Caenorhabditis elegans: one gene and its partners. The protein of the gene in region 2 purifies or fractionates together with the protein of the main gene of each other region. This does not show direct contact. Each region holds a gene or a part of one and is shown on either strand. Other genes may lie near its edges.

What was found.
Region 1: the proteins of sec-24.1 (region 2) and copa-1 fractionate together in Caenorhabditis elegans (co-fractionation; one large-scale study listed by BioGRID). This does not show direct contact.
Region 3: the proteins of sec-24.1 (region 2) and uroc-1 fractionate together in Caenorhabditis elegans (co-fractionation; one large-scale study listed by BioGRID). This does not show direct contact.
Region 4: the proteins of sec-24.1 (region 2) and pcca-1 fractionate together in Caenorhabditis elegans (co-fractionation; one large-scale study listed by BioGRID). This does not show direct contact.

The regions. Positions count from the first base shown.
Region 1 is NC_003279.8:2,894,524-2,903,015, forward strand, and holds copa-1 (Coatomer subunit alpha), read right to left. Parts: upstream 6,338-8,492; 5' UTR 6,279-6,337; coding exon 6,233-6,278; intron 6,181-6,232; coding exon 5,175-6,180; intron 4,329-5,174; coding exon 3,127-4,328; intron 2,599-3,126; coding exon 2,291-2,598; intron 2,238-2,290; coding exon 1,379-2,237; intron 1,317-1,378; coding exon 1,039-1,316; 3' UTR 806-1,038; downstream 1-805. Other genes in the region: gst-43 (maleylacetoacetate isomerase), read left to right, coding at 6,818-6,878, 6,920-6,984, 7,632-7,811, 7,858-7,938, 8,141-8,277, 8,331-8,451.
Region 2 is NC_003282.8:11,561,325-11,568,651, forward strand, and holds sec-24.1 (Protein transport protein Sec24C), read right to left. Parts: upstream 4,871-7,327; 5' UTR 4,868-4,870; coding exon 4,768-4,867; intron 4,725-4,767; coding exon 4,557-4,724; intron 4,513-4,556; coding exon 4,405-4,512; intron 4,362-4,404; coding exon 3,415-4,361; intron 3,364-3,414; coding exon 3,109-3,363; intron 3,057-3,108; coding exon 2,825-3,056; intron 2,775-2,824; coding exon 2,314-2,774; intron 2,264-2,313; coding exon 1,382-2,263; intron 1,336-1,381; coding exon 1,108-1,335; 3' UTR 662-1,107; downstream 1-661. Other genes in the region: pold-2 (putative DNA polymerase delta small subunit), read right to left, coding at 1-249, 295-384, 430-508.
Region 3 is NC_003282.8:16,536,674-16,545,035, reverse strand, and holds the start of uroc-1 (putative urocanate hydratase), read left to right. Parts: upstream 1-2,286; 5' UTR 2,287-2,329; intron 2,330-2,668; exon of another isoform or gene 2,669-2,689; intron 2,690-2,712; 5' UTR 2,713-2,713; coding exon 2,714-2,839; intron 2,840-3,117; exon of another isoform or gene 3,118-3,142; intron 3,143-3,582; exon of another isoform or gene 3,583-3,609; intron 3,610-3,639; coding exon 3,640-3,911; intron 3,912-3,957; coding exon 3,958-4,099; intron 4,100-4,145; coding exon 4,146-4,274; intron 4,275-4,278; exon of another isoform or gene 4,279-4,299; intron 4,300-4,310; exon of another isoform or gene 4,311-4,331; intron 4,332-4,627; exon of another isoform or gene 4,628-4,648; intron 4,649-4,878; exon of another isoform or gene 4,879-4,899; intron 4,900-5,265; exon of another isoform or gene 5,266-5,286; intron 5,287-5,585; exon of another isoform or gene 5,586-5,606; intron 5,607-5,666; coding exon 5,667-5,959; intron 5,960-6,026; exon of another isoform or gene 6,027-6,047; intron 6,048-6,230; coding exon 6,231-6,572; intron 6,573-6,624; coding exon 6,625-6,746; intron 6,747-6,826; exon of another isoform or gene 6,827-6,847; intron 6,848-6,951; and 10 more.
Region 4 is NC_003284.9:7,656,886-7,663,063, reverse strand, and holds pcca-1 (Propionyl-CoA carboxylase alpha chain, mitochondrial), read left to right. Parts: upstream 1-2,077; 5' UTR 2,078-2,085; coding exon 2,086-2,162; intron 2,163-2,214; coding exon 2,215-2,309; intron 2,310-2,359; coding exon 2,360-2,559; intron 2,560-3,300; coding exon 3,301-3,951; intron 3,952-3,998; coding exon 3,999-4,286; intron 4,287-4,341; coding exon 4,342-5,046; intron 5,047-5,100; coding exon 5,101-5,259; 3' UTR 5,260-5,552; downstream 5,553-6,178. Other genes in the region: dhs-29 (NADP-retinol dehydrogenase), read left to right, coding at 1-6, 490-658, 751-923, 966-1,068; F27D9.12 (RING-type domain-containing protein), read left to right, coding at 6,100-6,178. UniProt on the Caenorhabditis elegans protein: This is one of the 2 subunits of the biotin-dependent propionyl-CoA carboxylase (PCC), a mitochondrial enzyme involved in the catabolism of odd chain fatty acids, branched-chain amino acids isoleucine, threonine, methionine, and valine and other metabolites.

The DNA of each region.
Region 1 (8,492 bases), on a different chromosome or scaffold from region 2:
TTTTGGAGTTTTCCGTTAAAATTAGAAAATTTTTCCGCATTTTTTTACCGCCATAAATTTTTCTGTCATATTACGATATGAAATTCGGTATTTTCAAGTCACCTAGAGGATCAGAATCCAAAAAATCGTGAAAAAATAACGTAAAACTGCCGAACTGCACTAGTTAAACAATCGGCGAGTGCGGTGACTCATCCAAAGAATAAACAGAAAATCGATATTTTTACGATTGAAATTCACAGGAAATTCTTGTAGGGGGAAAAGAAGAAGAACAATTGTTTTAATCCTTTGCTGAGAAACTGAGAAACTGGGGGTGGGGGATCAAAAATTAATACCTTAATTGTTCAGTTTATTCGTGATTTTTGGATTTTTCGGGTCTTTTCCACGTCAAAAATGATTCTAAAATTCAGATTTTATTATATATATTATTTTAAATCAATAAATTCCGATAAAACAATCAGTTTTCAAGGAAATATGTGGACAGACATCATTGGACCACTTAGAAATTGCGAAATTCACTGAAAATTATTGATTAATTCGAAATAACTGAATAATTAGGTATATGTTAACTGAATTCCATGGAAATTTGCAAGAAAAATGAGCCAAAACGCGATAAAATCCTGGCTTTTGCCTTTTTCCGGTGCCAAAATGGTTTGTGTGCATTTTGTCGTAGTCCGCAATACCAAAACCCTAGACTTTACGACAATTTTCTTACTGTATTTTTTTTGAATTTTTTCGAGCAAATTTCTCCATGTAAATTACTGATTTAGAGAACATTTTCTTACCCCAAAGATAAATGAAAAAAAGTAAAAAAATCATGATTTATTCAAATAAAATAGACCAGCATGCAATCATAATCTTTCTGTGGGGTTTAAATAATTTTTAAAAACACATAATTTAAATAGAAAACATGAACCGCCGCCCAACGGGAAAATAATATGAAGGGACCAAAAGCAATGGGAATTGTGGAAGAACAAGGCAAATAAATTACAATAATTAATATCACACAAAAAACGAAAAAATTATCATATTTCACAACTTTTAGCTCTTCAGAGTTGAGATTCGGAGCCCAAGAACATTCTTTCCAACTTCTGCAACCTGGCACACGTTGCACACTTCTCCCTCGAGCCCTTCAGAGTACGATGCTCCACAATACGGGCATTTACAGAGTGGACGTCCACGGTAAAGAGGCACAAATTGACGAGAGCACACGACGAATGGATTATGCTCATCATAGGTCAACTGATGCGCGTCAGTGTTATCCTTCTCGGCGGCAGTCAGCACTTTTCGGATTTGAGCAGCAACTTCTGGTTTTGGAGCTGGAAAAAAAAATTAAGAATTAGAAATAAAATTTAAAAAAATCAACAACGCAAGCACGTACCGAGCTCCAATAGACGTTTGCAAAGTGATGCACAAGTCTTCATTTGCTTCATTTTGAAGAAAGTATTGATAGCAGATCTCAGTGTCAGGATACGATGCATTGGTTGAAGCTCAAAGTGTGTAAAGTAGGCAGCTAGTTCGGCGTTGCGTTTCGCATCCTCCAAATTCGTTTTTGGCAAATCTTTTCGATAAGTTTCAAGGAGAAGTGCTGCAAGATATTCCCGTGTGATTGTGATGAGCTGCTCCGCTTCGGCGACTTCTTGTTTCGAAGACACAACGATCAGTGGAACAGATAGAAGAATCTCCCGCAGTTTCTCGACAGCATCTCCAAACTTTCCATTCGTCGTCATTTGATAAGCCTTTTGCAGTTTCTTTGCAAGTTGAGAAAGTTTGAACGCAGCGACTGGAAGATGATTCTTATCCTCCTGGAAATTACGAACCGGATGAATGGACACTGGTCCAGCTGGTCCGAGTCCTCCCCATCCACGATGTGAGAGTCTAGAAGCTGCATAAGCCTTCACGAATACATCCTTGAATGGTGCTGCTTCAACGACTCCAATTGTATCATGAAGAAGCTTGATGGCAGTTCCGAATGAACCAGCTGCAACATGATCAGCAGCAAGACGAGAAACATTCGGCCATTCCGATGAGACAGCTGGAGCTGGGTTAGGAACCACTTCCTCATCATCATCTCCACCTTGATCATCGGTAACATCAGGAAGAGCCAGATCATCATCCACATCCCATCCACCTTCCTCATCTCCATCAACTGGTCCTTCTCCTTCATCAACATCAAGTTCACCATCTTCTCCGACAAGATACTCATCATCTCCCCATGCTTCATTTCCAACATCACCATCCTGCAAAAATTAATATTTTATAGCTCAGATAGCTCAGAAATCAATAAACTAACATCATCATCCATAACAGCAAAGGCAGCAGCAGCAGGCTTCACACCGCCAACATTAGTTGGAGCAGATTGTCCTCCTAATCCAAGAAGCTGTGCATCGAAAGTTCCTCGAGCCGAGGCAAGAAGTGGCCAATTCTCTTCTAAACGAGCAACTGGTGGTGGTGGGACAAGGAGGCGAGCATTTGGATCAACTGGTGGGATTGGTTGCTGACGACTCTCGAGTTCAGCCTTCAACTCCTCAGCTTCAGCAGAATATCCATGAGTGGCTGCGGCGAGGTAGGCCAGAGAAGTTTGTCCACAGTTTCGGAGCACTGAAAAATTAACTTTATACTTTATTTTGTTGAAAATGACCCAAAAAGTAACGAATTTCGTCATGAAAAATCCTGAAAAGTTTCTGAAAACTCACAAAAAAAGTTATGGCGGTTTTGAGATTTGGAAAAAAACCTATTTTCAGCTAAAATCTCAAATTTTGCCAACTTTAGTGTGTCATTGATTATTACTTTTTAATACATATTTTGGTCGTCTATCACACTTTTATTCGTTAAAACGACCAAAATACGTATTAAATAGCGATAATTGAATAAAAATCAAGTTCCGTCAGCTGCGAAACTGAAAAGTTGGCAAAATATGAGATTTTAGCTGAAAATTGGTAGATTTCCAAATTTTTTTTTGAGAAATCTCATGACGATATTCGGTAGATTTGGACCATTTTTAGGTTCAATAATTTCAAAATCGTCTAGAATTTGCAGAAATTCACGAAAAAAATACGCAAAGAGGAGCTAAAAATCAATAAAACTTTGACTTTTGCCCCCTTCTGAAATCCAGCTGCACATTTTTACCTTTAACTCTCTCCTCAACATCACCAGTGTAGAGAGCTGTCTGGAAATGTCCGTGAGCATCATTTCTAGCCTGTGCAATCTTCATCATCTTGACAAGCTTATCCGTATTTCCAGTAACAAAATACAAAAACGAGAGCTTCTCAAAGTTTTTCGTTCGTTGATAGCTCATCTCAACAATTTGATGATTGCCTTGAAGAAGAGCAGTCTCTCCGAGAGCCTCCCAGACTGCTGGCTCGTCGAGCTTCTTGGCGGCTTCCAACGCGATTTCCAGGTTTCCACATTCAATTGCCAACCCGAAGCGAGTCTTCTCATCCTTGACAAAGTGAAGAGCAATCTCTGGGTAACCCTTTTTCTCGAGATATCCAATGATGGATTGACCGACGAGATTTGCGGATCGAACCATGTTGACAACTTCATCGATTCGTTTGTTAATCAAAGCAAGCTTAAACTTGTAATCAGAATTATCAATTGGAACTTCAACTGGTGTAGCGTCACGATTCAAGCAGTAGAGCACGTTTCCTCGAATAGCCAGAATGTACAGAGGAAGATCCAGAGTACGAACGATTCCACAATCTCCAGAATTGATTGCATATTTGATGTGATTGCTAGTGGTGTAGAGGAATACCGAGTCATCATCCCAAGCTCCACTCTTCACACGAGTCGACTCCTGTTGGGTACACAGAATCTCCAATTTACGGTTGACCAAGGTCAGCGTGTGCTTTGAAAGAAGAGCTGCGAATTCCATAGACTTGCTCCAAATCACATAACGAACTTTCGACACTTTCACTGAAGCAGTCACAATCTTTTGCTGAACATCAAACAGTTGAAGCCCATCATCATTTCTCAAAAGGAGCATTCCAGTTCCGGCATAGAAAATATCGTCGACAGCCGTGTTGATATTCTCGAGTTTGCGAAGTTCCTTGTTCGTCAAATCACGCAACGACACATTCTGAGCCTTGTCAAGAACTGCAAAACGATTACGAGCAACCCAAAGTGCATTGATTCCGGTGCTCTTGACGCACGCAGCTTCAGTGGTTCCATCAGAGTTACTGGCAACTTTGTACAGCTCAAAGGCGCATAGATCCTTATTGTGAGTACGGCTTGTGAGAAGGAAGGTTCCCTCGGCAGGATTGAAGGAAAGAGAGTAGTATGGTTGCATGAATGGTTGTGGGTAACGGAGCTTGCACAGAGCAACATCCTTGCTGAAAATTTGATTTTAGAGGGGTTTTTGCTTGTACATCCCCTCTGAATGTACAAAAAATAACGAATTTTGTAGTGAGAGTCCTCAAAATTTCCGGAGAAAAGCTCTAAATTTAGCTAAGATCTCCAACTTCGTACTGAAAATAACAGATTTTTTAGATTTATCAAATTTTTAGCTTTAAAAATTTTTTTCCTGCATTTTACGAACAAACCTTCTGTTAAACAGTGAAAATCGAATTTAAAATGACTAAAATTAACTTTTTTCGTCCACTGGTTGTGAAATGGGTTGAAATTGAAGAAATCAACGGGATTTTTCTCATTTTCTAAATATTCTCCTATTAAAAATCGGTTTTAGTAAAAAAAAATGGTTTAAAACCGATTTCTAATAGAAAAATATTCAGAAAATCAGAAAAATCCCGTTGATTTCTTCAATTTCAACCCATTTCACAACCAGTGGACGGAAAAAGTTAATTTTAGTCATTTTAAATTCGATTTTCATTGTTTAACAAAAGATTTGTTCGTAAAAAGCAGAAAACATTTTTTGAAAAGCTAAAAATTTGATAAATCTCAAAAAAAACTCTGCTATTTTCAGTGGAAGTTGGAGAATTTAGCTATTGAAATTACGCCTTTTTTCCGATTTTTTGGAGGCTCTAAATACGAAATTCGCTTAATGGGGCACATTTAAAGTTTTTCATTTAAAAACTACTGAGACTCCACAAAAACATGATTCAGTGCGCCGGAAAATGCATTTTCGCAACTCTCGCACGCTTTTTTTCGCAAAAAAAAAACGCTAATTCTGTGCAAAAATGCATTTTGCGGCACACTTTTCTTGGCATCAAACTACTCACTTGGTTGTCAAATCGAGCTTGCGAATTTGTTGTCCCTTCACATAGAAAACCAAATTATCACTGACACAATAAGCCGGGCGTTCTCTTTGAATTTTAAAAACGACCATTCCATTGTCATGTCCTGCGGCGAACATGTTCAAGCTTGGATGGGCGGCCAAAACCCAGAAACGCTCATTTTCATGTCGGAAAACGTGAAGACTGGTACGCTTCTGCATATCCCACACACGAATCGACTTATCCTCCGAGTTGGAAAGAATCAAGTCAGCATTTGGATGGAAGATCACAGATGAGACGTTATTGTAGTGTCCACGGCACGAGTCGAGCTCCCAGGCTTTCGTCTCATTGTAACGCCAAATCTTGACTTGACGATCATCGGATCCCGAGACTAGAATTGGATTGGTATGATGGAATGCAACCCAGTTGACTCCACGATCGTGTCCCTCTAGCACATGCTTCACAACTGCATCAGGTTGCCCGAATAGCTCAGCTTGTTGCCCTCCGGTTGGCCGGCTTGGAGCACCTCCACCAGGCATTTGCTTCTTCCGAAGTCCAGAAATATCCCAAACACGGACGGTCTGATCCAAGGAGGCAGAAGCCACAAGATCTTCGGTTGGGTGGAATTGAGCACACATGACGTAGTGATTGTGTCCGGTGAGGATGGCGATCGAGTTTCGGCTCTGCCAATTCCAAATCCGAACCGTTTGATCGTCGGACGCAGAAATGATCCATGGATACTTATGATGGAAGAAAGTGGTACGAATATAATCCAAATGTCCGAGAAGTGTGAAAATACAGCGTTTCTGCTTGTAATTCCACACTTTAATCTTATAATCATCTCCTCCAGACACAAAGATCGGCTGATCATGATGGAAGCAAATTCCTCTCACTGGACCATCGTGCTCGTCGAACTTCTCGAGAAGAACGCACATTCGGTAGTCCCAGAGTTGAATGACTCCACTGTGCAGCGATGTGAGCACCCATGGCCGAGTTGGGTGGAACGAAATTCCTGGAAAATTGGGAAATTATTGAAAAATAATGCCAAAAACCAAAATATTTACCTTTAACCCTAGCGGATTTTGATTCAAATTTGATAAGGAGCGACATGATATCCGATTTATAGTCGGTAACCAGTCAAAAACTGCTCCTCGGCGTGAATGAAGGTTCTGAAATTATGGAAATGACACGTGGATATATAAGAATGTTTAAAAAAAACAGACAAAAATGCAAAAAATCAATGAAAAAACTTGGAATTTCGATTAAATTGATAAAGAAACTACGAAAAATACCATAAAAATTAAGAATTTCAGAGATAAAAATCGGTAAATCCACGTTAAAAGAGACAGAAAATGGAGAAAAGAGGACAACGTGGAAACCTGCGCATCAAACGGAATGTGTGCAAACACGGCGACGCGAAACTGCACAGTTTAGGAAAAATGACCGTTAAAGGGGAATTTTAAGTGGGAATTGACATAAAAAAGTGCTGAAAATTGAGGAAAATGGAGGTTTTATTCGGAGAAAGTAGTTTTTAACTGAAAAATTAGGGTTTTTGAAGATTTTTCCCACGTGTTCATATTTAATTTCTTCTCAAAATGTCATTTATTGCTTAAATATTTCAATTTTCTTCTTTAGAAGCTTCTAACTCCATGGCAAAACCGATTTTATATTCATATTGGCGTTCGTCGTGTGCCTGGAGAGTTCGCATCGGTAATTTTAGCTTGGAAATTCTATAAAATACTGATTTATAGCACTTGCTCTGAAAAATATCGACTACGAATACCGGCCAATCGACTTATTTTCTGAAGAATCCAAGGTTAGAAAATTTCCGGCAAATTGGAAAATTGCCGGAATTGAAAATTTCCGGCAAAATTCGCCAGAGCGGCAAATTGCCGGGATTGAAAATTTTCGGCAAATCGGCAAAGTGCCGAAATTTAAATTTCCGGCAAAATTCGGCCTAGCGGCAAATTGCCGATTTGCCGGAAAAAACCACAATTTGTCGAAAACTTTTGGCAACGGTAAATCGGCAATTTGCCCAAAATTACAATTTCCGGCAAATCGAAAATTTAATGAAAATCAAAATTTTCGGGCAAATTGGAAAATTGCCGGAATTGAAAATTTTCGGCAAATTCGGCATATTGCCTGAATTGAAATTTCCAGCAAATTGCTAGAATTGAAAATTTCCGGTAAATTGGAAAATTGCCGGAATTGAAAATTTCTGGCAAAATTCGGCAGAACGGCAAATCGCTGATTTGCCGGAAAAACACAATTTGCCGAAAACTTTCGGCAACTTGTGGTTTTGCACATTTTTTTCTGGAAATTTCAGAATTTCAATTTTAATCGGTAAAATTCGGCAAACGGTAAATCGGTAAATTGCCGGAATTGAAAATTTCCGGCAAACCGGCAATTTGCCATCCACCCCTGCCCTACTCCCACTTCCATAGAAATATAGCTGTATTTCAGAACAATGCAGAGTTCGTCAAGCACAACCCAGCGAAAAAAGTTCCAACTTTAGTGATAAATGGCTTATCACTGACAGAAAGCTTGGCAATAATCGAATATTTGGATGAAGCCTATCCGGATCCTCCGTTCCTTCCAAAAGAATTGGATAAGAGATCGTATTCAAGAGCTATCGCACTTCATGTGAGCTTTTAACATTCTTTAACAACTCTAAGCGAGCTCTTTTCAGATAGTCGCAAGTATTCAGCCACTTCAAGCAATCAATATCCACAAAATGCTCAATGAAAAGGAGCCGGGATACGGTGACTTTGTGGGTTCTCACGTGGTGTCAGAGTGTCCCATGTCGGGTTGATCTACCTAGATCTACAAAAAATGCGGGAGAAGAGACGCAGACTTCTAGAACGTGCTGCTGACGTCACATTTTATCGGTGAAAAAAATTTCCGCATTTTTTGTAGATCAAACCGCAATAGGTTCCAAGAGGCGTTTCCCGATAGTTCAAAATGTATTTCAGTGGTGCAATCACTTTGTGAACAAGGGATTCTTAGCTCTCGAAGAACTTTTGAAGAAGCATTCTGGGAAATATTGTGTTGGAGATCAGCTTACAATTGCTGATATCAACTTGCCATCGATAATTTATAATGCGAAAATGTAGGTTATTTCAAAATTTTGAATTTTTAAATTAAAAATTTTGAAATTTCCAGCTACAAAGTCGACATGTCCAAATATCCAACTATTACTCGAATTAATGAGATTCTGGCGGAAGATTTTAGATTCAAATTGGCTCATCCAGATAATCAGCCAGATGCTCCAAATAAAAACTAATATTGAACAATGAATAAAGTTTTTAATTGAGACTATATGTT
Region 2 (7,327 bases):
TTCCTTCCAGACGTACTGTCTGTTTATCTGATTCCAATTCGATTCGATCTTCAATGCTTCCAGCGTATCTTTTCACTTCGTCTTCTTCGGCATCTTCTTCATAATCATCATAAGCCACTTTATCCTCGTTGAGCAACGATTTCAAAATTGATGGTCTTGCAGCTATTCTCTTTACAATAACGCCGACCACGAAGATTTCCTCGTCTTGTTTAGCATCGCTCAATTGTGAATGCGTGAATTTTCCCTTGCCTGAAGATAAAAATTAAGGTTTATTAGTAATATTATAATTCTAACCAATTTCACGTTCTGCATTTTCCAAAATACGAGGTTTCAGTTCCTTCAAGCGAGCTTCGTAGACTTCAAAGTACTGTCTAGTGAACGCACCTGAAAGAAAATAACTTTTTAAAGCTTAGAGCAAAATATAAATACCTTTTTTATCTTTTTCAGTGAGAATGTATCGATCTGAGACATTCTTATAGTTTAGGATGTTGGACCAAGCGGTTTCCATTCTTAAAATAAAGAAAAAAATCAATTCAAGAAGGCAAATTTGTCAATGTTGAAATTTCGCGGCAAATTGCGTTAGAGCGCGTTAACATTACACCGAAGTGAATTTCAAAAATATAATATTCACAAAGTCAACATATTCGATTCTCAAATGTTTAATCAAAAACATTTTATTTTCATAAGACACCATCAAATTAAACACATTCGATCCCATTTCAAATCACAATAAATTATATGGACGGGGTAATAGGGGATATTTTACAAAAAAAGGAACAATAAATAGAAATCTCTAAAAGTCGCGAGAGCAACTGGAAAAGAATAAATTAGGAATCTGGGAAAAAGCAGATAAAACAAATTCTATTTTTGCACTGATAAGGTGCTAGGAAAGCTAATATCTTAATTTTTACAAACCATGCTCCATAATATTAAAAGAAAATAGTACGGCGAGAGGGAAGGAAATGAATGTGTACAAAGAAACCGGTACAAAATATTAATTCTTCCAACATTTCTAATCACAAGATTTGCTTTGGCGTGATCAAAATAATATGAAGGAAGAACAAAGGGAACAATCAAGAGAAGCAATTCTATCACAGTATCAACGACTTAGGAAATGAGATCGCGGATTTTGCGATGGATATCCACAAGGTAATCAACGTATGACATATTAGCAGGACCAGCCTTGTCTTCCACTAAAAATTTCTTCATCCATGGCTCAAGGCCGCTTTTTTCCACGACAACGAACGTTTTTCGCTCTCGGATCCCACGTGGCAAAAGTTGAATTGCACGACGAAGAGCACGTGAATGACCATTGTCTTTTTCCGGAATTGTTCCCTGAAAAATGTAATTGACTAATTGAACGTAGCAATTGATAACTTACACTCTCGGTATCAATTTGATTTGTAGCACCAACACCAAACACGTCTTGAACCCATGTCTGGGGGCATGCAGAGCCAACCCAGACAAACAGAATAACACCGTTATCAATAATATAGGCTTTCGAATTTTCCAGGAACTCAGAACTCGCTCTAACAGGTTTTGGAAGATCCTTCATTTCTTCAGTATCATTGATTTGTAGATCAGAGATTGGCATAACTCTTGGATAAATAAGAGGCATGACATTTTCAGTTCGTAGCCCACGGATCAATTCCATCTGCCACACTTTGTCGTCGACTGTCATTTCACTTCCTCCACTGATCGCATCATTTTTCAAAATAGAGTTCACATAGAGCGGCATCAATTTCAGAGATTCAGGAAGAATCAGTTGTCCAAGTGGGGCACCTTCACTACACTTCTCTCGATAGGTCGCTAGGAATTGTGCACAACGAGAAGAAAGTGATTCTCTCATTTCTGAGCTTCCCTTGTCACGATTCAATTGAACAGCTTGCTTCAACATGAATGCTGTCAATGCTTCCGGATCAGCAAGTCGGTAAACTTGGTTGTAATCAGCAGTAACTGGAAGGCATAAGTTCAAAATTCGCAAACGGCGCTGTCCAGTCATCGACGTATACAGTACAGCGGTTTGAATGAAGGAAGCTGGATCTTTCAGACTATCATCATGTTTGATTTCTGTGATGAATGCTTTGCTTTCATCCAATGTAGCCAATTCCAAATCCGTTGAGTTTTCCATGTAAAAGGAGCCAGTAAAAGTGATAGGACGAATTCCTGTAGACGTTCTTACTCTTGCCATGCAGTCGAATGCAATTTTCTTAGAAACGTGTCGTTCCAACTCATTCAACATGCGAACACCGTCTTTATCGGCCTGAAATAAAAATAAAATTAATAAAATTATTGGTTTTTCTTTAAATTTACCGAGAAATACTGAAATTTGAAAATAGATCCTCCCGTAACTGCAGAAAGCTGACCAATTGTGGCAACATCAATGAAAGCATTTGGGAAGAGGAATAAATCGACAGTAACTCCTGACTTGACACATTGCTCTCCCAACTTCGTGTATGAATCTTCTTGTGGAACCAGTGCATTCTTTTCTTTATCTGTCCCGAGAAGAGATCGATCATTTTTGGATTTCAGCTTTCCCGGTGCATCATATGTTGGTAGAACAGTTGAAAACAGAATCACTTTTCCTGCTCTGTCGGCACACTTCAAAGCGTCAAGACCGGCTTGTACGACGGGTTGAAGAATGGTTTCGGTGGTTTTCGACTGCGAAAAGAGTTTAGGAATTTCAGCCAATGCGGCACGAAGTCCAGGAAGTGCCTCGTTGTAAGGGAGAAGAAGTCCATCGACCATAGGAACAAATGGCTCTTGAACATCAGCTAAAAACAGTACATATTTAGACAAATTTTTATAAGTTTATCAAACTTACACATTACGAGCATTTTTGGAGATGCCGACGAAATGTCAAAGAAATGAACCGCCTGATCGAATGTAGCCAATCCTATACGCATAGACGACTCGAGCTGTCCAGATTCTCTTGGCAAATTTCGAAGTACTTTCTCCAGATTTTGACAAAGAATTGGAAGCATTCCGTTTGAAATAGCATTGTAGGATACATCAATCATAAATATGAAGGCCGGTTCTTTTGGCGCGATTCCATTCTAAAAATGTCACTTAGAATTTTTGAAAATTGCGATTTTTTTAATTACGTACCTTGCAGTATTGTTTTGTAGCTACGAGATCATACGCTCCAAGACAGAGTTCTGGACGCATTTCAATATCAGTTCTTCTGCCTGTATGATCGAGATGGGCGAAATAAGCATCTTCGACAGAAGTTCGAGCATGGCAAAATGGACAACGGAAGGAGCGTCCACCATCTTGGAATTCCATAAACGGACAAATGTATGCCTTACAACGCTGGCAACGAATCGGTCCTTGTGGTCCCAGATCGACGACTGGTGGTTCTTTCTGAAATTGAAAATAATTGATTATTCATTTTTGAAAAATTAAAAAAAAAACCTCATATTCAGTCAGAGATGCGAATGGCGAAATGACAACGGCGAGCGGAATCTGCGATGCTTTCAAAATGTCATTAGTCTGTGGAGCTGTGTAGAGGGTTGATCTCATAAATTTGGGGTTGCAGTTTCCTTGATCTTGAGCGAAAGAATTTGTAGAAACAAGTGGCGGCAATTCAGCGTTCGGATATCCAGTTGGGAAGATCCCGCTACGAGTCGACGAATCATCATCAATAACTTGAACAGCACTTGGCATCATATTAGGATCAAGACGTTGTTGTCGTTGCTGTGGTGGGCCGCCGGGGTATCCACCTTGCATTCCCGGCATACCTGGACCTCCTGAGGGATATCCGCCGGGACCTCCTGGGCCTGGAGCTCCTGGAGCGAATGATCCTGGCATTCCTGGTCCTCCTGGGCCTGGGGCTCCCGGGGGAAATGATCCCGGCATTCCTGGTCCTCCTTGTCCTGGAGGGAATGCTCCTGGCATCCCTGGTGCAACTGGAGCTGAGGCTCCCGGAGGAAATGCTCTTGGCATGCCTGGGCCTTGTGGAATATCTGCTGGGCCAGAGGGATATGATCCTGGAACTTGTGGACCGGGTGGAAACGAGCCCGCTGTGGGTTGTCCTGGTGGAAATCCTCCTGTGCCAGGTGGGATGAACGAATTGGGCGCTTGAGGCACTTGTGGAGCACCTGGGTAAGCGCTAGGAGCAGAAGATGGTCCACCTGGGTAGCCTTGAACATTTTGTGAAGTGGGTGCTCCAGCTTGGAACGAACTTGGAGAGCCGCCTGCCTGTGGAAAACCAGGGATTTGTGGTCGAAGCGGAGTGGGTTGATGGATCTGATGTGGTTGTGGCGGCAGATGAGCTCCTTGGTTCATTTGCGGAATTCCCGGAGTCGGAGCAGGCGCTTGTTGCATTGCTTGAAGTGGACCTGCAGGTGTGGCACTAGGAGCTAAAATAGAAGTTTTAGCTTTGCCTCTATAAACACTATTTACCTTGAACACTTTGAGGTACAGCGGCGAACTGTTGAGGAGTTTGCTGTCTCTGTACTTGTTGCAATTGCTGTGGTGGAGCTCCGGGATATCCTGCTGGCTGGTACGGATCTTAAAATTAAACTTAACGGATTAGCGAAAAAAAAGCAACTCACTTGGGGGTTGTGCTGACGGAGTTGATCTAGCTCCAATAGACATATTATTCACAGATTGTGCCAAGTGAGACGAATTTCCATTTAAGCCTCCATTTTGATACTGTCCATTTGGTTGCTGATGGGGTGGAGGAAATCCACCTGGGACTTGAGCTGGCTTTTGCGGCGCTGCTAAAACAATTGTTGTATTATGCAAATGTTCATATAAACTCACCTGGAGGGGGAAATCCGTTTGACTGAAACTGCGGCTGTTGGTTAAATTGCTGTTGAGGATATCCGGGCATTTGCCCGTTTGGTGGCGGCTGATATGACATCCTGGAACAAGTATAAAGATTATTTTATATTTTTCAAAATAAAAAAGCTAGAAATCGAGCTAGAAATTAATTAAATCCCGAAAAGAACGTTGATTTTGCTGTAAAGTTCCATGTCACAGCGCGATCCACCGTGTACGCAAACGTCGCGGTGGGCAAATCGCTGCGAGACCCAGCGTGCTGCGTCTCTTCAGGCAACAGCTGTCTCTCTTCATTTCGGCACTTTTTGAATTTTAATTTTTTGTTTTGTTGTTTTTTTTTCTTTTTTCTTTGTTTCCGTAAATGGAAATGTTGATAATTATTTAGATTACACCTAGGCGATTAAAAATTACTATTTGAATCAGGATTCTGTAGGTTTTGAATAGAATATTACCCGCTAGTACTGCTTGTTCAGTTTAATTCGGGAAATCCTTCTAAACTCCAACTAGATGTGATAATAGACCTTATTAATAATATCGATGCACGTTTTTGTGTGCTCAAAATTACAAAAATTTGGCTAAACACATTTATATTCAAAGTAAGGTTTCAAAAAAAAAAAATTTCCTCACGATATTCATTAATGAGGTTCTTATTATTTATGCTAATTGTGGTATAGATCGCCAGCTGTTTCTCAATCCCTTTCTCGTTTTCCGTATTTCGTATTCAAACCGCACCGCCCTTCTCTGTTTTTCTGGATCTCACCGTCCATTACTGGCAACAATAGGAAAGAGTTTTCTTTTATTCTGACCTCTTCCCTCCCTATTCAGTATGTTTGTACAGTTTCCATTTACATTAGTCACTCGCTCACTTTTTGACTTTTTTTTTGCAATCTTTCGGCCCACTCAAACCCTCAAGAAAATGTATCAGTTTCAACTTTGTTCCTATAAATATTGATATCAGGGTGTCTACACGTTTCACTGTTTTTTTGTATCCCGGAACATTAGTAACACAAATGACCCGATTCCAATGGCAATTAGGCGCTTCGAATCCTTTCACCGTCTGCCACTTATGGTCTCAAGGTTAAGTTATTATTGTTACTGTCAGGTACTACCCATCGGATAAAAAGACGATTGAACATCCCTCACGAATGTTTAATTTCGAACTCTATTGAATATACTTGTAAGAAATATTATTTTGTGCTTATAGTTTTTTCAAAAAATGCTTTTAAGCTTCAGTTTGACAAATAAATTCGGCTTCGTTAGCTGAATTTCCCTTGCCCTTTCACTTTTGATCAATTAGTGCAGAACGACGGATGGTTTAAATTTTACGATTCCCTAAAGACTTCATTTCCCAGGCACGATGCTAAAATAATGTAATTGTGTATCAGAAGCGAAGTGAAATCGGTAGAGAACACTTGCGTCAGGTGTCACATATCCTTTTTTGGTCCTTTTCCTTCGTTCTATTCACGTCCATTAGGTATTTATTACTTTATTAGAGCTTGTTATGACGAATGAGCCGCGGATAAACAATGCATGTTCTTTTACTTCTTTTGAGTGTGTGCCGCCCGCATCCGCCGCTCAACACATCCATTATGATGCTAATAAGTTTTATCCTTATTTTGTCGGTCATGAATTATACAAATCCGCATTTATTTTACTTACCCGATTTTTAATGACAATTTTGAGTTATGAACTTGAAAGCATTGAAATTATTTTGATCAATTTGTGGGTTTTATTTATTATTTAAATTTCAAACCCAGTATCGTTATACTGAATACGACTCGTAAAATATCATAGCATTTTTCTAATTTTTAAAATAGGTTTTTTAATCAGAGAATTTTATTGACCTAGTTTCGACATTTCCGGCTGAATTAATTGAGTTTTTGTTTTATAAATTGAAGCACAATTTATCAGTTTTTTCGCAATATTTAGAAATATTCTATTCATTTTTACTGATATATTCAGTAAATCGAGACAACACTGCTCTCAAGTTTCTCGATATTTTACAGTGACACATGGAGTTAAAGTATAAAATACTGTAGGATCAGATGTAATCGCATCATCATGAAATCCGCTTTTGAATCCCTTAGCCTCTTCAGAAGGACACTCGAAACTAATTTGGTTTTGACCCGATTCACATCGTTCTTTTATTCGTTTACTATTACTATTAGAATACCGTCCATCATCCGCTCCCTACATGTTTTCATATTGTCTCCTTCGACATTTATAATGTTTTTATTCATATGTTTTCAGTCTATTCTTTCTTTCTTTCTTTATTTCAACCTGTATTAAAGAGCATCCACGTCATCGTCTCCCCCTTTCTCTGCGTTTCCACTACTTGACCTAGTCTCTCGATTATCGCTGACAATCTCGAATTTCATCACAACATCTTCTCTTCTTCGACGCTCACCAGTTGTGGCTAGTCGATAGGCACCGGATCTCCATGTCCTTCTGCCGGTCACGCTTGACTTCTCAGCCCTCCACCATGTTCATGGATTCAGTGATGGGAATTGGAATAGCTTCATAGATTTTCTTTCCGGACCGG
Region 3 (8,362 bases), 5.0 Mb from region 2:
AATGTACTGAGCATAAAGAAATTGCACTTGTACATAACAACTAGTTGAAACGGTTTTTTAAGTTTACAGTCTCACAGACAGTTTCAGCTGAATTCGCGATTCTGAGCTTGGTTTTCATTTCAAAATTCAATTTTTATTATTAGGGTTCATTCTGTTTTTTCGGGCAAAAAGGAGTTTTTCAAAAAATTGTATTTTGTAGTCGTAAAAATTAATTTAAAAGTTATAATTTTTTTTGGGTTCAGAGCTCAAAAAAAGTTTTTTTTGCCGTAATGAACTAAACGGAAAAAGTCTTAAAAACTTTTATAAAAGCTAGTTGAAACCTTAAAAAACGGTGCAAGAATTGAAAAAAAAAACTAATTTCATAGTTAAGATAGAAGTCGGGTTAGCAACCGAACAAAAAAAAGAAATTTCTTGTACATAAGCTGAAACGGTAATTTAATTTTTTTTTATTTTTAGGATGTTCCCGATGAAACATAATTTAGTGGAGCTCCGTCATGTTCTGGTAGTCCAGCAACATACCTAAAGTATTTTTTGTATTGTTTTTTGTTTTTGGACGAATTTTAATTTTCAGTCGGGGAGTTTAAAACAAAATTCGTAGTTTTTTTTTTTGGTTCTTTTACTAAGATTTTTACTAAATCAAAAACAAATGCCATTTTTATAAAAACTAATTGAAACTGTCAAATTGTAAAAATCTGTTTTTTTTTTCAAACATTGTGATTTAATTACAAACTTGCAGTGCCGTTTACATTCCATATTTGGATTGGATTAGAATTGGATCTTCCATAATAGGTAGGCGCGGTTTCAGGGACCTGACGCCTGCCTCGAATCGCATTTTTACGTTTTTTTCTCATTTCAATAATTTTGTTGAAAATCAAATTAAGATATGAAAAAACAAATAGTTCGTGTATGTTTTAGAATAAGGCGCGTATTGAGGCAAGAGGCAGGCGGAGATCGCCTTAAGGTCAGGCAGGTGGGAATTTGAACGCCTTCATGGAAACCTTAGTTTTTGTAATTAACAAGACATTTTGTAATTTACAGCAAATATCAGAAAAAGATTAATGAGAAATAAGAATGTTCACTAGTACATAGCAGCTAGTTGAAACTGCGATTTTATTTTATAGTCTCACGTTCAATTTGAGCCAAATTTGCGATTCTGAGCTTGAAGTAAAAATTGTGCAGGTGGTTTGGGTATACCGTGAGACTATCCAATAAATTTACAGTTTCAGCGTGTTGTACATAAGAACACGCTGAAACTGTAATTTAATTGGATAGTCTCACGGTCAATTTGACCCGTGTTTCGGGTGTTCCCGTAAGAAACATAATTTTCTAGAGCTCTATCTTGTACTGGAGCTCCTCAGAATCCTGGTGGTCCAGCAGCACACCTGGAGGACTAAAGTGCTGAACTGTTCTCTTAAATGTTCTGTTTTTTTTCGGGCCAAAAACCAAAAGAAAACTATATTTCAAAAAAAAAACTTTTTTATTTTTATTTTTGATCAAAAACTTTTTTTGGTAAGACCTTCCTCCTGTATTTTTTTTCAATTTCAAAAATTCTGCAAGAATTCAAAATGTTGTAATTTTAGTCGCTTCAGTGAGGAAATATAAAACTGCATCTACATAGCAACTAGCTGAAACTGTAATTTTTTATTTCATAGCCTCACGGTTAATTTCCACTAAATTCGCGTTAAATCCAATGTTCTATTTTATAATTTTTTATGGATGCTTTAAGCAAAATTTGGTATTTCTTTTCGAAATTCTTCGGACCAAAAAACAAACAAAAAACAGAAAAAACTGTTTTTCCAAAGATTTTAATTCGTTTTACAGTTTTAACTTACAAATGTGATGTAGGTAGTAAGCAACAAATAAATTGCAGTTTTATAACAACTAGTTGAAACGGTCAAATTTATAAGCTCTGAAAGTTGTGTTTCCAATAAAACTCTTAATATATATCACCGATTTATAACAACTAGCGGAAACAGTAACTAAAAAATTAATTTTATAAATAATTTTAAAGTCCCAATGTTCTATTTTCGAATTCTACCCAATCGCGAGATTCTGCATTCAGATCTTATCATCTTTCTCTTCCAAATACACACACACACACCTTGAAACTAACCAATAAAAATGCAATCATCCGACCGTTTCGTCGTCGTCAAGGATCGTAACCTGGAACCAGAAGACGAGAATCATCAAAACAGAGAATTTTATGGCGGTGATCTATTGGGCGGGAAGGAACATACCACGTGGGAGAAGGGGGAGGAGAAGTCGAACATTCACGAGAAATCTTTCATTGCTGATCAGAATAAGTTCGGTTTTGTTGGCAAATTTTGAGGTTAGTTTTTTGATGAGTGCCGAAATTTTACCGAAATTTGGAATTCGGCAATTGTCAATTTTATGAACTATACCAATAAATTGTATTAAAACTTCTAGAATGCTCTAGAAAAATCTGGAAACTACTAGAATTTTCTAGAACAAAACTGGAAACTTCTAGAAATTTCCAGAGAAATCTATAAACTTCTGTAATTTTCTAGAAAAATGTGGGAACTTTAAGAATTTTTTAGAAAAATCTGGTAACTTCTAGAATTTTCTAGAAATTTTTTTTTAAATTTTATTTTTTAAAAATTACTGTTTCATCACATTGAGAAAATGTTTTTACTGTTGATTTTTCTAATTTCGTATACTGTTGACTCGGTTTGTGAAGACTCAATTTTCCAGCATGAACATCCCATCTCTCTTCGTCGACCCATTCTCTCCGCTCCTCGAGCATCCAACGGAGCAACGTGCCAAGAATGTGGCTCACGCACCAAAGCGTCCGTGTAATCTTACACAGACAGAGAAAATGGTAATAAATTTATCTTTGAAAAGATAAAAAAAATGTACTGTTTCATTAAAAACGTTTAGGCACTTGACTTGGAATTTTTTCTTTTCAAATGAATTTTTTGAAACTGCAAAAACAGTTTCATTGTTTCATTGAGCGCTTTAAAGAAGACTGTGAAACATAATCTTTGACAAGTTGGCTGAAAATGAGCCTAAACTAACAAATTTTTTAGAAAAATTTGGCTAAACTCTGAAATTTTTTGCCTAGTTTTTAATAAAATTAGCTTTTTTTTGTTGCATCAAGAAGTTTAAATGCTACACTGACTAACTAATAGAACTTTTTACAAATTGAAATGCAATATTTGGAACAGTGAACATTTTTACCTTTAATTTTTCAAATCTACTCCTAATTATGGTAAACTATTTGCAATGAGATCAATGTTATAATTTATTGTTCCGACATCTCCCGGGTTGCACAGTGTTCTCTGTGCTCGGCGCAATTTGGGAGATACCAATTAATTGAATGAAGTTGTTGTGCCAATTCTAGTTCAGAAAAAAGTAAGAGAAGACTGTAACAAAATTTACAATTTTTTTGCAATTTTGGAGCAGTTTTTGAAGTCGGTAGGCTATGTAGTTTTCGAGATCAAGAACAATCAAGAAGATCAAGAATCAGATCAAATTTTAATTTAGGAGCTGAAAAGCTGTTGGCTATTAGTTACAAAAGTCTGTTTCACTTACTTGATAAAATACAAGTGGAATTCCAAAATTTATTGTTTCGAACTTCAATGCAGGTCCCAACCAGCTTCAACTATAAAATTCTTCCAGCTCGCCGTCCGCAATGCTCTCCGCTACATTCCAAAAGAGCATCACGTCCTTCTAGCCACCGAGTTCGCTGAAGAGCTCAACACCTATGGACACATCTATGGGTATCGGTTCATGCCAAACTTTGATCTATTCGCGCCGCCCGTCTCGGAGATCGGAGCTCATTGCGAACAAGCATCGGCTATCATTTTGATGATTCTAAACAATTTGGACAAGCGGGTTGCCCAGTTTCCACAGGAATTGGTGACTTATGGAGGAAATGGTCAAGTTTTTAGGTTAGCATGGGAATCTTTCTGAAATGCTTGAGAAATGATATTTCAGCAATTGGATCCAATTCCGTCTGGTTCTTCGTTACCTCTACACAATGACTGACCATCAAACTTTGGTGCTCTATTCCGGACACCCATTGGGCCTATTTCCATCAACCCCGGACTCGCCAAGAATGACTGTTACTAATGGAATGGTAGGCCTTTGGAAACTAGGATGCTTCGTACATTTTGACATTTCAGATGATCCCGAGCTACTCGACAAAGGAGCTGTACGACAAGTATTTTGCATTAGGAGTGACGCAGTACGGACAAATGACTGCTGGAAGTTTCTGTTATATTGGACCACAGGGAATTGTACACGGGACTACGGTAAGCCGTTAAATGGAGTTTGGCATTAAAACACCGTATTACCGTCAAATTTAATGAACACACTAAAACAGTCAAATTTATTTTGGAAAATGGGCAAAGCAGAAGGTTTTCAGTATACAACGGTTTTAGATGGAATTTCAAAGGCAAAAATTCAAGGATTTCAAGATTTTTGTTTTTTTTTCTGAATATGATTCTTGTCATTTATATAATCCAAACTGCACCAATGTAGTAGAGAAGTGACTCAAAGAAAACATGTTATTTCTAATAACTAACTCAGCCCTAAAATATACGGACACTGTGAAACATTAAATTTTTGTAAATTTTATTTTTTTTTTTAAATAGTTATATAATGAACCAAAGCTGAAGTTTTGGCATTAAACACCTTATTACTGCCAGAATATATGAACACACTGAAACAGTAAATTTTATTCTGGGATATGGGCTACACAGAAGGTTTTCAGTATACAACGGTTTCAGATAGTATTTGAATGATTTTTGTTAAGTTTTTGTGTATTATTCTAGTTATTTTATAATCCAAACTCCACCAAAGTAGTAGAGAAGTGGCGTCAAGAAAACTTGATATATTGCTTTAATTTATAGCGGTGTTCTCTTGAAAACCTTCCTAATAGCTAACTCTCTAAGTCCTAAAATATGTAGACACAATGAAACAATAAATTTCTGAAATTTGTAATTTTTTTTTCAAGAGTTACATAATGAACCAAAGCTGATAATATTTTGTCCCACTGAAAAAATTTACTTACTTCAACTAACCACAGTATTTATTAAAGAGTGATAATTTAACAAAAATTTAGTTCCAGACACTTAGAAGATGACAAAATTTTTGATTTTAGCTGAAAATGAGACCTTTTTTATCAGAACTTTGAACCGCCATAACTTTTTTTTTTGAGAAATTTTCAAAATGTCTCGTTACGAAATTCAGTAGTTTTTGGGGAATCTTGGGTCGGAAAAAGCAAAATCTCAGATTTCGGTACTCCACCTTAAATAGAGTCGAATAGCTATCTTACAAAGCCCTAAAATATGTAGAAACTGTGAAAAAATAAATTTTTGTAAATTTTATTTTTATTTTTTCAGTAGTTACATAATGAACCAGAACTGATAACATTTTTTTTTAATTTGAATTTCGTAATTTTCTTAAGGTTTTTCAAAATTGACTTATTAGAAGCAGAAAGTTGAAAGTCTTTTCACTTTATAATATTTTAAAGAAATCTAAATGATTCGAGACCAGATGCAACAGATTACAGCTTTTCTACCCATATAGAAAAATAGTGACGTCACTATATGAGTTTTTCTCGATCTATTCTTCTTGTCCGATTAATTTCATCACAACTCTCCTGAATTTCTGAACCCCCTGAAACAGTAAAAATTCTCCAGATCACAGTCCTCAACGCTGGTCGTCGTATGGGACTGGATTCCCTTGCTGGTAAGGTTTTCGTAACTGCAGGACTTGGAGGAATGAGTGGAGCTCAACCAAAAGCAGCTAAGATTGCTGGATGTATTGGAGTTATTGCGGAAATTAGTGATACTGCATTGTTGAAACGTCATCAACAGGGATGGTTGGATGTATATTCGAAGGATCTTGAGGAAATTGTGAATTGGATTAAAGAGTACAGAGAGAAAAAAGAGGCAATTAGTATTGGATATTTGGGGAATGTTGTTGACTTGTGGTGAGTTTTAGAAAATTTTACTGTTTCAGAAAGTTGTTAAATTTTTTTATGAAAGTGTGAAAGGCGATCTACGGAGCAAGAGGGAAAATAATTAAAGGAAACGAGAAAAGCGGAAAAAATTGTAATACAAATAATATATCTCATAGTTTCGGAACCAAGATTTTTTTTAAATTACAGAATTTTTTACAAAGATTTTTCACAATTAATAAACTTGGTAAAACATTATTCACAAAAATTCTAGACAAAAAACTATGAGTTTTCAAAATTCCAGGGAACGGCTCGCCGAGGAACCGGAATGTCTTGTAGAACTGGGAAGTGACCAAACTTCTCTCCACAATCCATTCCTTGGAGGTTTTTACCCTGCTGGACTCACTTTTGAACAATCCAATCAAATGATGACTTCTGATCCTGTAAAATTCAAAAAACTTGTTCAAAACTCTTTAATCCGCCAAATCGCCGCCATCGACAAGATTGCTGCAAAGGGAATGTACTTCTGGGATTACGGTAATGCTTTCCTTTTGGAATGCCAGAGAGCTGGAGCCAATTTGCTCAGAGAGGATGCTCAGGATGATAAATCGTTTAGATATCCAAGTTATATGCAGGATATTATGGGGTAATAATTATTTGAAAAGAGTACAATTTAAATAAAATAAATTCTGTTTCAGAGACATCTTTTCAATGGGATTTGGACCATTCCGATGGGTTTGTACTTCTGGAAAGCCGGAAGATTTGAGATTGACTGATCAGACAGCATGCAAGATTATTGATGAGTTGAAGGATACTGATGGTGAGTGCTTTTATGTTGTAACAAAAAAATCGACTGTTTCACTATGGCTATATGTATGTTCACTATTTTGAGAAATTTGATGGGTTCAGTGTGTGTATCTTTGAAATTTAGTACTAATCTCATAAAATTGAGCATTTGTTGGCGAGAAATCATATATATGCTGTTTCATATTGTCCATAAAACTGCCGACGAATTTTGACTTTAATTTTTAATATTTGTTAGGAAATTTAGGGATGTGAAGCTGTTGAAAAAAAAAAAGAAAAACGAATAGCCAGTGTAATATTCTTGAAACCGTAAATAACTACTAAATAAAATAGCGTACTGTTTCGAGAAGTTTATATAATTTTCGCTTTTTGAAAGAGGTTATTCCGGAAATATTGCTAAAAAAAAGCAGAAAACTTCTACAATTTCGCATAGTCATTAAAGTATGTTCGATTATTTTATTTTATTAATTTTGCTGAATTAAAAAATAACATATTAAAGGTGGAGTACCGAAATTAGTGACTCTGTTTTCTTAGACCAAAATGAGTCCAAACCTACCGAATTTTGTAATGAGACGTTCTGAAAATTTCTCAAAAAAAAAAGTTATGACGGTTCAAAGTTTTAGAAAATAAGGCCCATTTTCAGCTAAAATCAAAATTTTTTCCAACTTCTCGGTGTCGCAACGTCTGGAATTGAATTTTCATTTATTCATCACTTTTTAATAAATATTGTGGTCATTGATTGGGCGTTTATTCGTTGATTTAACTACATTTATGGTCTTTGGGGCACAAATAAAAGTTACATTTTGTGCCTCACTGACCATAAATGTACTTAAATCAACGAATAAACGCCCAATCAAAGGCCACATTATTTATTAAAAAGAGATGAATAAATAAAAATTCAATTCCAAACGTTGCAACACCGAGAAATTAGATAAAATTTCGATTTTAGCTGAAAATGGGCCTTATTTTCTAAAACTTTGAACCTTCATAACTTTTTTTAAAGAAATTTTCAGAACGTCTCATCACAAAATTCGGTAGTTTTGGGCTCATTTTGTTCTAAAAAAACAGAGTCTCTAATTTCGGTACTCCACCTTTAAGAGTAGAAACATGTAGTTTTAGGGGAACTCATCAGGTTATTTATCAAATTTATGCTTGGAAAAGTTGAAAGTCTACCGAAAATGTCTTTTCCGCTGAAAAAAATTAACATCGTTCCCGGAAACCCGGGATATGTCGTACCATGATGAACAATTCACAAAGTGTCGACCGCAAAGCAAGTATACCAAAACGAGAGATAGGAGATGCGGTTTGAAAACAAGTTGAATTTGAGAATTTTTCACTGTTTCCAACTTTGCATTTTAATTTGTAACGTATTGTATTAGACAATTTGTAAAAAATTATGTTTTTTATTATCTTCAAAATACTATGATCCTGAATGAATTATTTGAAATGGGTACCCTTAACTTTAACAAATATTCGCTCTTAAAAATTCTGAGAAAATTTGCAAAAAATCACCACGTCTTCTTCTTGAATGGGTACCACTGAAAATTAATTGGGTTGTTATTTTTATTCCGAAATATACTCACACTGCTGCCAAGTTTTGAAACTTTCTGTTTCTAGCAGAGACATTGATTT
Region 4 (6,178 bases), on a different chromosome or scaffold from region 2:
GAAAAAGTAAGTTTCTCGGTTTCGTTATTTTGGTTTCCATGGTGAATTTTTATTAAGAACATTTGTTTTGAATTGTAGATGAAATCGGCATATTTAAAAATAATTAAAGTACTTTTTAAGTGTCAATATTCATGTGCTACTTATTAAAATGGCGAAAAATTAAAAATCAATGCCCTGTTTTCGCGTCTTATTATTATTTTTTTGAGAACTGTACAACTTTTCGTATTCGCAAAAAGAGCTGCCCGAATTGTTTTTCTGTCTGCGTCTAGTTTGTCTTTACACGCTCTATTATTGAGGTCACCATTGGTGTCCTTATTGATTCAGATAGTATCTCCTCTATTACACGAAGACACCCCTTCTTCTATCGTTTGAGAGAATCAAAAAAAAAAGAAACCAACTATTCATCTCCACTTACTTTTTGATTCTCGTACACTATGTAGAATATAGCCAACTAATGATAACATGATAAAATCTAATTTTTTATTTCAGTTTCTGCTCTCTTCAAGTGTGCCGGTCGCTTCGTAATTATTTGGGTGTTAAGTATTCCGCTTCAGATCCATCATTTTGCAAACTGACACTTATTGAAATGTCGGACTATTACAAAACTCCACAACTCTTCTGGTGGCTCCTCATTGTTCCAGCTCTGGCTATCAACTACGTAAGTTTTAAGGTTTCAAGTGAAAAAAAACTATGTTTGATAAAAATAGATATTTCAAAGCTTCCACTTCGATCTATATCTTTGATTTTTAGATTTCTTACGCCCATCCAGCAGCAGCACTTAATATTCCATTAATTGGATCTCTCGTCCATAAGATTGGAACTGAGTATCCATTTGTTGCTCTTTTAACCAACCTTTTCGCCCTTGTAGCACACGCCGGTGAAGCTCTTTACGCTCTTTATCTCTGCCATAAAGCCAATATCAGGTGAACTTTTTCAGTTGATTTTATAACAAATTGTATTTTCAGTTTTGCTTCTACCGCAAAATGGGTTGTCCAAACGTTTATTCTTGGTTTCCCGTCACTCTCTATTCTCAGTCGATACGAAGCCAAGCAGAGGAAGAATAATTGACTAGTAGTTGAAAATGTGTCTGATAGTTCCTAAAATGTATTAATTTTGTTTTTTTTTGCCAATGCAATGAACGACCATTTATTATCAAATAAAATGAAGAAACTCAACGAAACATTCTCAAATAAACAACATGTCGAGAGAAAGGCCAGTGTGTGCAAAGACGCAGAGAAGATCACTGCAAACGCGCTCCGTTGAGGTTGCTGTGTGAGATATCTTGGACAACCCCGCGCATTATTGGACTGTTTTTTGTTGTTTTATTGATCATGTAGTGGTCAATGAGCAGGTCATTCTTGCCTTCGCTGTTGCCAGAGAAGGTCGGCTTTTTTCTTCCCTGTTTTTGGTGATTTTGCCGTTTTTTTTTGTGTATTGAGTGTACTTACTGTGTGAGTCTTTAGATTTTCCGTTTCACGCATACACGTTTTTTGTAAAATTATTAGTTTTTGTAGGACTCTCGGTTCAAAAATTATAGAAAACGTGCAGACTGGACTATGAATTATATTCGAAGTTCTTCATTGTAACATTGTGAGGTCGTCTTTCCAACTCTCAACCTATCCCGGTGATTTTCTCGGTTTCTCTGCGTGTGTGTGTTCAGAGGACGAATACGTGCAAAATCGCAAGAAATGGGCAAAGAGAGAGAGCGGGGCAACTGCGCTTTGGGTCCATCAGAAAAGAGAGATAGACAACTTTTGTGAAAATCTTGTTGCGGGACAAGGGCACCGCACTTCTTGCTTTTCTCTTTTCTGGCCAGGCTATTTACTTCGTTGCTCAGTTGCCATTTCTGCATGTTTTTCTTATTTTTTCTACTAGTCGAAGTTTTCCTTCATAATCAATATAAAGAGAGTTTTCAAGGCATCGCTGTTTATCACTTAACTGACCAAATCAAATCGGTCGTCCTTATCTTTCTCCATCGAAGTTATACACGAAACTGTTTTTCTCCATCATCTTACTTTTTTCTTTTGTGAACTGCTGATGTCGTTGTTCATTTTATCATGAAAATCATTGTTTTTAGGTTGAACCATGCTCCGTGCTGCATCCAGTATCCGCGCTGTGGCCAATCGTGGATTGGCAACTGCTGCTGTTGCCAGACCAGGAGTGTAAGTTTCTGAAAGTTGTATTCGGTTTTGAGATCAATAGGTTCAATTTCAGACCACTTGATGAACGTGAGGGAAAGGAGATTTACACTACTGTAGGAATCGATTACAATGAGCCAAAGTTCGACAAGATTTTGATTGCCAATAGAGGTAATCTCAAGCATCTAAAAGAATCTTAGATTTAATCGTCTATTTTACAGGAGAGATTGCGTGTCGCGTGATCAAAACTGCCAGAGCTATGGGAATCAAGACAGTGGCCGTTCACTCAGATGTCGACAGCAACTCGCTTCACGTAAAGATGGCCGATGAGGCTGTATGTGTTGGAGAAGCTCCAACTGCCAAATCCTACCTACGTGCTGACCGCATCTTGCAAGCTGTCGAGGACACCGGTGCTCAAGCGGTAAGAATTCTAACGTGTCTATGTAATGGAAGGATAAACCGCAAAAATCAAATATCAGAGGAGAATGTAAATTCTGTGGCATGAATCTACATGCACAGTAGCACAAACATATTACCCAGACATCCGACAGAGAATAGAGTTTTTGCAAAAGTTCAGAACACCGCTCCAAATCAACTACTACTGTTCAAGAAGTCAGAGCGTTCGCGCTTAACTTCAAACGGAGAGAATAGCTTAAAAAAGTTGCTGACTGAAAAAATGTGAAATAAAACATTCCCTACATTTTGATAATGCTCAATTTTTTCATGCTCATATCACCTGGCTGAGATATGAGGGTTTGAAGTGATGAAGCTCTAGAGTTCCCTCTTATGGCCTGTTGAAAACTGTGGTGAGGTCAAATTATGAAAAGCACGAATTACCGCATTTTTCAGAGGACAAGCTAGGGTCAAACAGTTTGACAACCCGAGCGAGAGCTTTTGGCTGTGTAGCAGCTTAAGATTTACCGTAATATATTAGAAACCAGTTACTTGTAATATGCACGTGATATTCACCTACTTTCACTACGAAACACAACAAAACAAAAATTCTGTGACAAGTGACCAAGTGGTCTCTTTCCAGTCTCTAGCATCTCGCGTGTTTCATTTTCAAATAGTCAAAGTCAAATGACGAGAGATAGATTGCAAGTGTCTTCTGTTATGTTTTTCAAACAGAACTGCTAAAAACGTTGAAAACATATATTTGCAGGTTCATCCAGGATATGGATTCCTTTCCGAGAACACCAAGTTTGCCGCCGAGCTTGAGAAGGCTGGAGCCAAGTTCATCGGACCAAACTCTAAGGCTATTCTTGATATGGGAGACAAGATTCATTCAAAGAAAATCGCTACCGCAGCCCGTGTCAGCATGATTCCAGGATATGACGGAGAAATTGCTGATGAGGATATGTGCGTGAAAGTCTCCCGCGACATTGGATACCCAGTCATGATCAAGGCTTCTGCCGGTGGTGGTGGAAAAGGAATGCGAGTTGCCTGGAACGACAAGCAAGCTCGTGAAGGATACCGTTTGTCCAAGCAAGAAGCAGCTTCTTCTTTCGGAGATGATCGAATGCTCGTTGAGAAGTTCATTGACAACCCACGGCACATTGAGATGCAGGTGCTCTGCGACAAGCATGGAAACGCTTTGTGGCTCAACGAGCGTGAATGCTCCATTCAGAGAAGAAACCAGAAGGTTATCGAAGAGGCTCCAAGCAGCTTTGTGCCACCAGAGATGAGACGCAAAATGGGAGAACAGGCCGTTCAGCTCGCCAAGGCTGTCGGTTATGACTCTGCTGGAACCGTCGAATTCCTCGTTGATTCTCAGAGAAACTTCTACTTCTTGGAGATGAACACTCGTCTTCAGGTAATATCTCAGTATGGCCTAAATGTTTAATTTTTAAATACTCACAGGTCGAGCATCCAATTACCGAGTGCATCACTGGAATCGATATTGTCCAACAGATGCTTCGCGTTTCCTACGGTCACCCACTTCCAATCACCCAAGAGCAAGTGCCACTCAACGGATGGGCTTTCGAGTCTCGTGTCTACGCCGAGGATCCATACAAGGGATTCGGTCTTCCATCAGTCGGACGTCTCTCCAGATATGTTGAGCCAAAACACGTCGACGGAGTTCGTTGCGACTCTGGAATCCGTGAGGGATCGGAAATCTCTATCTACTACGATCCACTTATCTGCAAGGTAAAGGATAAATTAGCATTTAGATAATTTCAAGTGACTTACTTTGTAATTTCAGCTCGTTACGCACGGAGACAACCGTGAACAGGCTCTGAACCGCATGCAAGAGGCTCTCGACAACTACGTCATTCGTGGAGTCACTCACAACATTCCACTTCTTCGTGATATTGTCCAAGAGAAGAGATTCCGTACTGGAGACATTACCACCAAATATCTTCCAGAAGTGTACCCAGAAGGCTTCCAGGGAACCAGCCTCTCACCAAAAGAGCAAGACGTTGTCATTGCCTTTGCCTCGGCTCTCAACGCTCGTAAACTTGCTCGTGCCAATCAATTCTTGAACCAGAACAAACAACGTAGCACTCATGTGGCTTCCTTCTCGAAGACCTACAAGTTCGTGTCTTCTCTGCCAGTGAAGGAGGGTGAGAGGCCAACCGAGCACGCTGTTGAAGTCGAATTTGTCGAAGGAAGCGCCAACAAGGCCCAAGTTCGTATTGGTGGAAAGACTGTGACTATCAGTGGAGATCTCAACTTGTCTCATCCAGTCAACTCAATTGAAGTCGATGGAGAGCACATCACCACCCAAATTGTTGGCAAGCGCGCCGGAGAGATCACCGTTCTTTACAAGGGAACTCCATTCAAGGTCAAGGTGCTTCCAGAGCAGGCCGTCAAGTACTTGCAGTACATGAAGGAGAAGGCCAAGGTTGACTTGTCCACAGTTGTGCTCTCACCAATGCCAGGAGCAATCAAGAACGTCAACGTTAAGGTAACATTATTTTATCACTACCATTAGATGTGCTAAAACTGATTCAATTTACAGCCAGGAGATATGGTTTCCGAGGGACAAGAGTTAGTTGTCATGGAGGCTATGAAGATGCAGAACAGTCTTCATGCTGGAAAGACCGGACGCGTCAAGGCCGTCAATGTGAAGGTTGGAGCCACAGTCGACGAGGGAGAGGTGCTCGTTGAGCTCGAGTAGATTATTCTCACTGAACCTGAATTTTTTTTGTTGTTTTAATTACCGTTTTTTTCCTAATTTTGTACAATTCAAAGCCGCCACTATCTGGTATGGAGATTGATAATTTCATTCGCAGTTTCTCAAATTTCAAGCCATATTTATATTTTATTTTTGATGCCATTACCCTCACCTGTTGTATTCCAATCATCACGGACGTATTTCTCAGCCACCACCCTGTTTTGTTGCCCCAAGTATTATGTAGTGAATAAATATTGTAGAAGGCATTGCAAAAAGGTTGTTATATGAAGAAAAAAAAGCATTTGCTCATTTTTTGAACTTTTCAATTAGAAAATTATATATCTATTCTGTTTCTACATAACATAAGTGCAGATGTTTTGTTGATTAAATTTTCTATTTTTTGTGAAATAGCTTGTGTAAACTAAACATTTTACCATAGTCCATAATTGAAGCTCGGAAATAAGCGTTGTGAAAAAACTTGTCAGTTTGCAAATCTGTTTTAAAAATTTCAGATTTCTCTTTTTTATGTTCTTCTTTCATGTATCTCAATTTCAAAATATTGAATAGCAGTGCCAATTGATTATTCTGAAAGAAAATTGACAAAAAGACGAGTTGAGACGAGAAGATGAAACAGAAAATGATGGGAAGAAGAAAAAGAAGAATTTTTCTTCCAGTTTTTTTTGCCGTTTTCTGTTCTTTTCAATCTCATTTTAACTCACGTTTTTTGGTTTCGTGTGAGTAGTGTCACACTGATATTGTTAAATTCTGTTAACTTCTAGTTGAGAAAATAAATAATGTCAATATTTTAATAAAACTTACTTGTAGCACTTTCAGATCTGTAAGATGTCTAGTATCGGTATAAGTAGATACGAAGACGGGGAAGAGAACTGTTGCACAGCCTGCCTTGAATTTATGCATGAAC